Rattus norvegicus: one gene and its partner. The protein of the gene in region 1 interacts with the protein of each later gene in a pairwise test. Links are inferred from orthologs where the notes say so. Each region holds a gene or a part of one and is shown in the gene's direction. Other genes may lie near its edges.

Region 1 (3,747 bases):
CACTTCCACATTGCTGTTCATCACCAAAGGAAGTCAGGACTGGAACTCAAGCAGGTCAGGAAGCAGGAGCTGATGCAGAGGCCACAGAGGGATGCTTCTTACTGGCTTGCTTCCCGTGGCTGGCTCAGCTTGCTCTCTTATAGAACCCAAGATCACCAGCCCAGGGATGGAACCACCCTCAATGGGCTGGGTCCTCCCACGTTGATCACTAATTGAGAAAATGCTTTACAGCTGGGTCTCATGAAGGCATTTCCTCAACTGAGGCTCCTTTCTCTGTGATAACTCCAGCTTGTGTCAAGTTGACACATAAAACCAGCCAGTACAACCACCAAACACTTAATTGTGGTCCGATCATGCCTTTTCTAGATTTTTAAGAACTCATCACTGGGGTGGTTAAAATAAAATTGAAACGGTGTTGGGAGACAGATTACCAGATAAGGGGCGCTTGCCATCAACCCTGACTATTTGAGTCTGAACCCCAGGATCGTGAAGGAGAGAACCGACTCCCACAAGTTGTCCTGTGACCCCCAAATGCACTGCATACATATATGCACGAAACAAATAGGTGTAAAAGGACTTAAGGAATTCGCTGGCACCTGACGTACCACAAGCAAGCTCCAAGTTCTGAACTCATTAACTTTGGTAAAGATGTCTCACAAACTTTGGAAGTTCAACTTTTTCCTGCTCCCGAAAATTAAAACCCATGCTCTCCCAAGCCGCGCAAACCGGCCGGACAACTTGCTCCAGCGTTGTGCCTGCTCCTGAAGCTACTCTAAGACCCTGGAAAGCGGGTGTCGCCCGCCCCTCCAGTTAAGCCACTATCCCCTTTCAAAACGTCCAATCACCGCCCCACCTCTAACCCCGCCCACGGTCCCGCCCAGTCCGCCAATCAGAACTGCGGCGGCCGGAACTCCCTGTTGGAGCTGTAAGTGAGCGTTGTGTCGGGCCTTGCACGGCCTCAACACCCGCCCCTTCCACTAGCAACGCGCCAATCGGAAGAGCAGCGGCCGGAAGTGGCGGTTGGAGGTGTGGGTGGGCGTTACAGCAGCCCTTAGTTGAGTTCTCAGACTGAAGGTGGTAGGTGACTTTGGTGGGTGGGCGGGCCGGCTAGGGGTTGTAGGTCAAGTGTCCTGGGGCGGCCCGGATCTGAAGAGACGAGTAGAGGTCGATCTGCTTCTCCCAAGTTCCGGGTCTTGGGCGGGCCCCATCGGCGGCCATTCTGCGCGAACGACCCTCAGCACTTCGTGGCCCGGTTCGCCTGCACTTTTAGTAATAACTTGTCCTTTGGGCTCCGTTACAGGTATTTCTGGAAACTCCCTGCGGGGTTGGCAGAATGCTTCTTCAGGCCGGAGTCCTGTGTGACTATTGAATAAAGCCGGTTACTTCTCTGTGGAGTTGGCGTTCTGAGGGTAAAGCCTGGGTTAAAAAAAAAAAAGTCTGCAATTGAGACCCAAGTTCATCAGAGAAATCAGAGTAGCTGATGTCTACCCTGGGAGCCATCTTTTATCGCCATCCGAGTCCGTAGTTAAGACGCCCAAGTGCAAAAGCAGTATGAACAGACTTAGAGATTGAGTACAGAGTACTATGATTGATATAAACTTAACATTAAAATTAGGAAAAAAATACGTGAGTGCCCTCTTCAAGTCAGTTCGTAATGCTTTGCTTAAGGAAAGAAAAAGAGGAACCATGGATGCGGGTTTGATTAGGCTGAAGGTTAGAATAATAGAACTAAAGGTTACAAATTGCGATGGGACAAATGCCTAAATAGGACTGTGATACTGGGTGAGTCGCTTGCATTGAGTTCTCGGTAAAATAGAGATGTCGATGATGTATAATAGTTTCACATGGGTTCTCAGTTCTCATCAATTACATATACAAACAATATAAGAGATAACACGTGTGTTCGTTCTTTTGCGCAATGAAATAGTTTAAAATACCCCTCCCTTCTAATTTCGTAAAAAGTAACTGTAATTTGAGTTACTACATTAGATTTGTAAGTCTTGTTATTTATGTTTAATGGTCAAAAAAAATTCACCTAAATTCTGCTTATACTTCCTCTAGTAATTCAAAGACAGAAATAATGTCATTCTTAAAAAGATACATTTTGGCTTTTAAAAAACTAATACTACCAGGGAATATTTTTTAGCCTGTACTGGCTTAAGCTTTGGGGGGGTCCTTCCCTTTGAAAGAGTTTTGCATAGGAAATCTGGTTTTCTGTCACCAGAATTTGTACCTTACTGGAGTTGTGTAGTTTCTGTGGTAGTGAGTGCAAATTGATAGGTGAAAGCTGTAGTAATAGAACTTTTAGTGTCTTCAGAGCAGAGTGTATCATCTCTGGTAGGCGGAAAGGGTTAGAACAGTGGCCTTCCACTGTGGTGTTTCCTTATTTCTGGACCCCTATTCTATTCTAGACTTTGACCAGAACCCAGAGAATGGGACATGGGCATTCAACTTAAAGCTGGGTAGGTTACTTGGTTTTTAAGCCAGGATGAGAACCCCTGCATTATAGAAAAGGTTTTTTTAAAGATGTTTCTCCTTTTCTTGAGGAAAAGGACTAGAACAATCTGGGAAGCGTAGCCTGGGACGCTTGAGGGGGAATAGAGGGTTTCTGGTTTTGCCATCAGTGTGACTAAAAACTGAATTTCAAAGTGGCCCTACATAGCTGTCAAAGCTGGTGGGCAGGTTGTAGAATCTGCAGGGAAGACAGTCCCATATTGATGCTAGAAAACACGTTTTAGAAGCCAGTTTTTCTCAGTGTTGTGTCACTTTTGGGCCATGGGAGGTAATGATTGGAATTCTCAGACGGTTTTGGCCTGCTCTGTAAGAGCTGGTTTTCATCTGTGTGTAGGTGGCTCTAATACACTGTCTTGTAGAAGGTTGTTTTAAAGGTAAGCTAGAATGTATATGCCTTGAGTGCTTTCCCGATAATGACGCGTTTTGCAGTTGCAATGCTAGCAGTTCCTATTTGTTTGTTTTCTGCAGGATTTAAGAAGACATGATTTCCACCCCACTTCCACAGCACGTCTAAAGTTTTGTCTTCTTTCTGGGTCCTTATCTTATGCCACAATGGTAAGCTGTGAAATTAGCATGTTAAAATGTGTATCTTATACTCTTCTCTTCCTTTAGCTCCATAAAAACAATAGTGGATAGAAACACACAGATAACTTAGTAACGATGTCAAAATATTCCCTAGAAAATAATCTGACTCGAATTACACAGCTCCTCCATGTATTACAAGTTAATTCTGCTTTGTCTTTTTTTTTTTTTTTTTCCCTGAGTCTTTGGCTAGGAGGTTGATATAAGTACAGATACTTGGGGAGGACTTCTCATATTTTAAGTTTCCTCTTACATCTGTTTTGAGTATGCTTGTTCTATACATGTGGGTCTATAAGTTTGTAAAGAAATGATAATGTCAGTGCCCTTCCTCTGGCTCTGTCCACCTTTTATTTTGAGACAGGTCTAGAGCTGGCTGAGTAGGCCAGGTTGGCTCCTGAGGTGTATTTCCCCGTCACAGATCCCTGCTTGTGCCACCCTGTCTAGTTTTCTTCTATGTATTCTGGAGATTAAACTCTGTTATTCATGGTCATGTGGCAGGTACTTGGACTGAACTATTTCCCCAAACTCCTCCATTTACATGCTTTAAAATTAACAAATGTAGGCAGATTTACTTTGACACAGATGTAATTCCAGTACTTGGGACACTCAGGTCAAAGGGTCTCTGTGTGTTGAAGGCCAGCTTGGGCTAGA
Region 2 (3,747 bases), on another chromosome or scaffold:
CATTACAGATGGTTGTGAGCCACCATGTGGTTGTTGGGAATTGAACTCAGGACCTCTGGAAGAGCAGTCAGTGCTCTTAACCACCGAGCCATCTCTCCAGCTCCCTCAATTTAAGTTCTTAAAATTCTCCCAATTTTTCCTTTAAATTTCTAAATTTTGGATGGTTCTAAATTGGCAGGAGTCGGTCTCGAACCGGAGTCATGGGCTTTGGGGTGTTCCAGATATGGTCTCATAACAGCCCAGGCAGGTCTCTTAACTACTCACTATATAGCAGAGGCTGGTCTCCTGGTCTTTCCAAACGCTGGAATTACAGGCTACGTAAATCTAAATAAATACATCAAATATATGAGAAGGGTCTCTTGGTCTTTCCAGATGCTAGAATCACAGGCTGTATAAATCTAAATAATTCAGTAAATAAATAAAATCAAATACATGAGACGGGTCTCCTGGTCTTTCCAAACGCTGGCATTACAGGATGTGTACATCTAAATAAGTAAAATAAATGAGAAACTTTCCTGAAATGGAATGACCTACCTGCAGAGAGAGAGAGAGAGAGAGAGAGAGAGAGAGAGTGTGTTTCCCTTCCAGTCATGGGTATCGAACCCAGGGCCTTGCAAACGCAGGTCTCAGCCTCAAAGTGGCCATTCCTGACGTCCACCTCTGACCTTGTGCATCGGACTCCCTAGTGGGTCCCTGGAACCTCCTCCTACACCTTCCACGGTGGTTCTTCTGGTGAGGACATTTAGAAGCTGCTAGGAGCGTCCGGCGGGAGGGAGAGCCTGGGCTTTGAGACCGGGTTAATGTTTGCCTGGGTGGGGAGGGGGACAGGTTTCATCAGCGTCCCGAGATAAGCCACGCGTCCTTGAGCGGATGGGAACGCAACAGCTTTCTGGACAGGGCCAGTCTGCTCTTGCAAATCTTTCTTGGAAATCGCCGGCTCCGGTGAGCAGGTGGCTCGGAGCTCAAAGACCGCTTGGCTCTCTTTCCCCCCCCCGACGCCGTCCCAGTGGTTTTCCGCCACGGCGCCGGGCATTCGCCGGTCCGACCACAGAGAGGCGCGCGCGGCCTACGCTGCGGTCCGCCCCCACCCTCGGCGCCCCCCGGGAGCAGAGTCTCCCCTAGAGTTCCTGCCTCAGCTCCCGGAGCCGTGTCTCTCTTCTCGCGAGATCTTCCCGTCCCGCGCGCTCTTCTCGAGCACCCCCGCCCCACGGGCAGGTTCCATATTGGGTAAGATCTCGGCTCGCGGAGCTGTTCTCGCGAGAGTCCTGCTAGAGCCTCCCCGGCCGCTGCCTGCGGGGAGAGGGGGGAGATCGCGGCCACTGGAGCCCGAGCGGGCGCTAGAGCGCGAGCGGCTGTCGCGCAGCGTCGGCGTGCGCTCCCCAGGGAGCGGCTGCAAGGGGACCGCGGCGGGAGCTGCGTCGAACCGTGCAGCCGGCTCCCGCTCGTTGCCGAGGCTCGTAGGTGCCGCCGCGGCTGACAGGAGCCGTGGGTCGCAGCCTCCACACCTGCGCGGGCGCGGGGTCGGGTCTGCCGCGGGCGAGCGAGAGGGCGCAGAGGAGAGCGTGCGGCTGCAGGCAGGGGCCCTCGCTCGGCCACCTCGTCGCCGCGCTGCCGCCGCTGGAAGATGTCGCAGGAGAGGCCCACGTTCTACCGGCAGGAGCTGAACAAGACCGTCTGGGAGGTGCCCGAGCGATACCAGAACCTGTCCCCGGTGGGCTCGGGAGCCTACGGCTCGGTGTGGTGAGTGTCGCCGGGCTTGGGGTTGGGGGCGGGGGTGGGAGGGAACGTGGTGGAGCAAGCAGGGTGGCCCTGCATGCCTGAGCGCCAGGCCTGTCCCCACAGCTCAGCGATGCGCCCAGCGGCAGGAATTCTCCTGCGGGCGTGTCTTGGGGGTGCAGGGGGCAGTTGGAGCGGGACGTGTCCTGCACCCCTCGCCCTGCACACTCAGGTGGGTGGGGAACCGTGTGCGGGATCGGGTCAGCCGTGGGCGCGGTGTGATGGGGCTCCACCCTGTGCTCTCCATGCTCGCAAGATCGTTCCTCCCGGGGGTCCCTCTGCAGCCGTGCGGCCTCTGGACCCTGCCTCCGGGTACCGCCACTTGGCACGCAGGAGCCCTGCCCCGGGGAGCGGGCGAGCTGGGCGCAGCTCCGGCGAGGAGCAGTAGGTCAAAGCCTGACCCGGGGACTGCGGTCACCTGAACGAAACTTGCAAGAAAAAGCGCTCCCTTTCCCGGAATTTTTTTTTCTCTTTCTCAGTTTTTCCCTCCCATTTAACCATTTTTGCAAGCTTCGGTCGAAAAACCCAGAATCGGGAAACGTTCTTTTGGGATTCGCACCTGAATTAGCAGCACCCCGAAGGGCTTAAAATAATACCGACTTTATCTCGGGGACCGCGGGGTGCCAGCTTGCCGTGGTGTGTTTCCGATTCGGTTGAAAGCGTATTTCCTTTTCGGGGAGGGAGGGTGGCAGTGCCTGCAAGGACGCTCCAGCTCTCAGCTTAGTCACACAGCGCTGCTCAGTTCAGTATTGTTTGACAAAACCAGTTTTCCATACGGAGCCAGAGTGGTTCTGATCTGTTGGGCGCCCCTCAAAGATCAAAAAGGTGGGACCGAGTGCTGGAGTTGTAAATGGTTTTTAATTGGGATGCTTTTCTTTCTTTAAGCCCCTTAGAAGATTTGCAGGGGGCTTTAAGCTTGTAAGCACCGAGGCACATGGGGGTTTTTCGGGAGAACCTGGCCGCAGAAAACGATGCCTTTCAGCTTTCATTAACACTTCGGCTTTTTGTTTGAGTTCGTTTGAGACAGAGTCTCACTATGGATGGCCCTGTCTGGCCTGAGCCTCAGTGGCTAGACCAAAGCCTGGCCTGGAACTCAACAAATTTTGTCTCCTGCCAGCGCTGAGAATAAAGGCATTTGCTACCACACAAGGCCCTGGGAGCAGGTTTCAGATTAAATTTATACAGTCAAAGGTCCACTCCAGAAATGTCAGGGACTTTCAAGGATTCATATAGTCTCATTTATTGGGACTCAGTGTCAGTTTAGACCTCCCTATCTGAAAGTAAAGACCAGACTCAACAGACTAGACTCTTCTGCGTTTTAGTGATTTATATTCACGTTTCCCTGAAAGAGCCTGTGAAATGTTTTTTTTCCCCCCCTTTGGAACAAATTCTAGGCTTCTGGATGTGTTAATCTTTAAGTATGAATCCTGTGTTACTTAAAGTCACATCGTGAATTTCCTGTTTGGTAGAATCTTCCTGGTAATTGCGATTGTGCAACCATGTCCGGCAACAGATCATATTGCGTTTGCTCGTTGGAGCTGCCTAGGCTGTGCTGCTGATAGCACCAGCCCTGACCTCTTTCCCCCAAGTTTACAGACTGGCAGTTTGCATTTTAAAGGGGATGTCAATAATTTACATCCCGTGTTTGTGATTGGTTTGTTTCTCTAGTACTCACCAGCTCCCTCAGTATCTCCAGTCTTCATTGCTCACTGTTACAGCATCAGGCTTTTGTCCCCATTTGGATGCTTGGGAAGGATGGAGCAGAACTCAGGGCTTCTGGGAGAGGGAACTTGCAGGGTTTCCTAGGGCCACTGCTGCCCTGGCAGAAGAGCCAGCTTTACAGTGACTTGCCACAGTGAAACCAACACCACTTCCTCTAGTGCTGTTACTTTCTTGCAATGGGATTGAGCACAGCCTCCCAATGAGATAGACTTCTACCAAACAGTTTCTTTTTTTTTTTTTTGGTTCTTT

The links.
Region 2: the proteins of Supt20h (region 1) and Mapk14 interact in binary tests that used the Homo sapiens proteins (3 or more experiments, as listed by UniProt). The link is inferred for Rattus norvegicus from reciprocal best matches to the Homo sapiens genes SUPT20H and MAPK14.

The regions. Positions count from the first base shown.
Region 1 is NC_086020.1:141,046,560-141,050,306, forward strand, and holds the start of Supt20h (transcription factor SPT20 homolog), read left to right. Parts: upstream 1-1,003; 5' UTR 1,004-1,077; exon of another isoform or gene 1,078-1,300; 5' UTR 1,301-1,409; intron 1,410-2,411; exon of another isoform or gene 2,412-2,462; intron 2,463-2,982; 5' UTR 2,983-3,058; coding exon of another isoform or gene 3,059-3,066; coding exon 3,067-3,069; intron 3,070-3,747. UniProt on the Homo sapiens protein: Required for MAP kinase p38 (MAPK11, MAPK12, MAPK13 and/or MAPK14) activation during gastrulation.
Region 2 is NC_086038.1:6,750,055-6,753,801, forward strand, and holds the start of Mapk14 (mitogen-activated protein kinase 14), read left to right. Parts: upstream 1-1,304; 5' UTR 1,305-1,624; coding exon 1,625-1,740; intron 1,741-3,747. UniProt on the Homo sapiens protein: Serine/threonine kinase which acts as an essential component of the MAP kinase signal transduction pathway.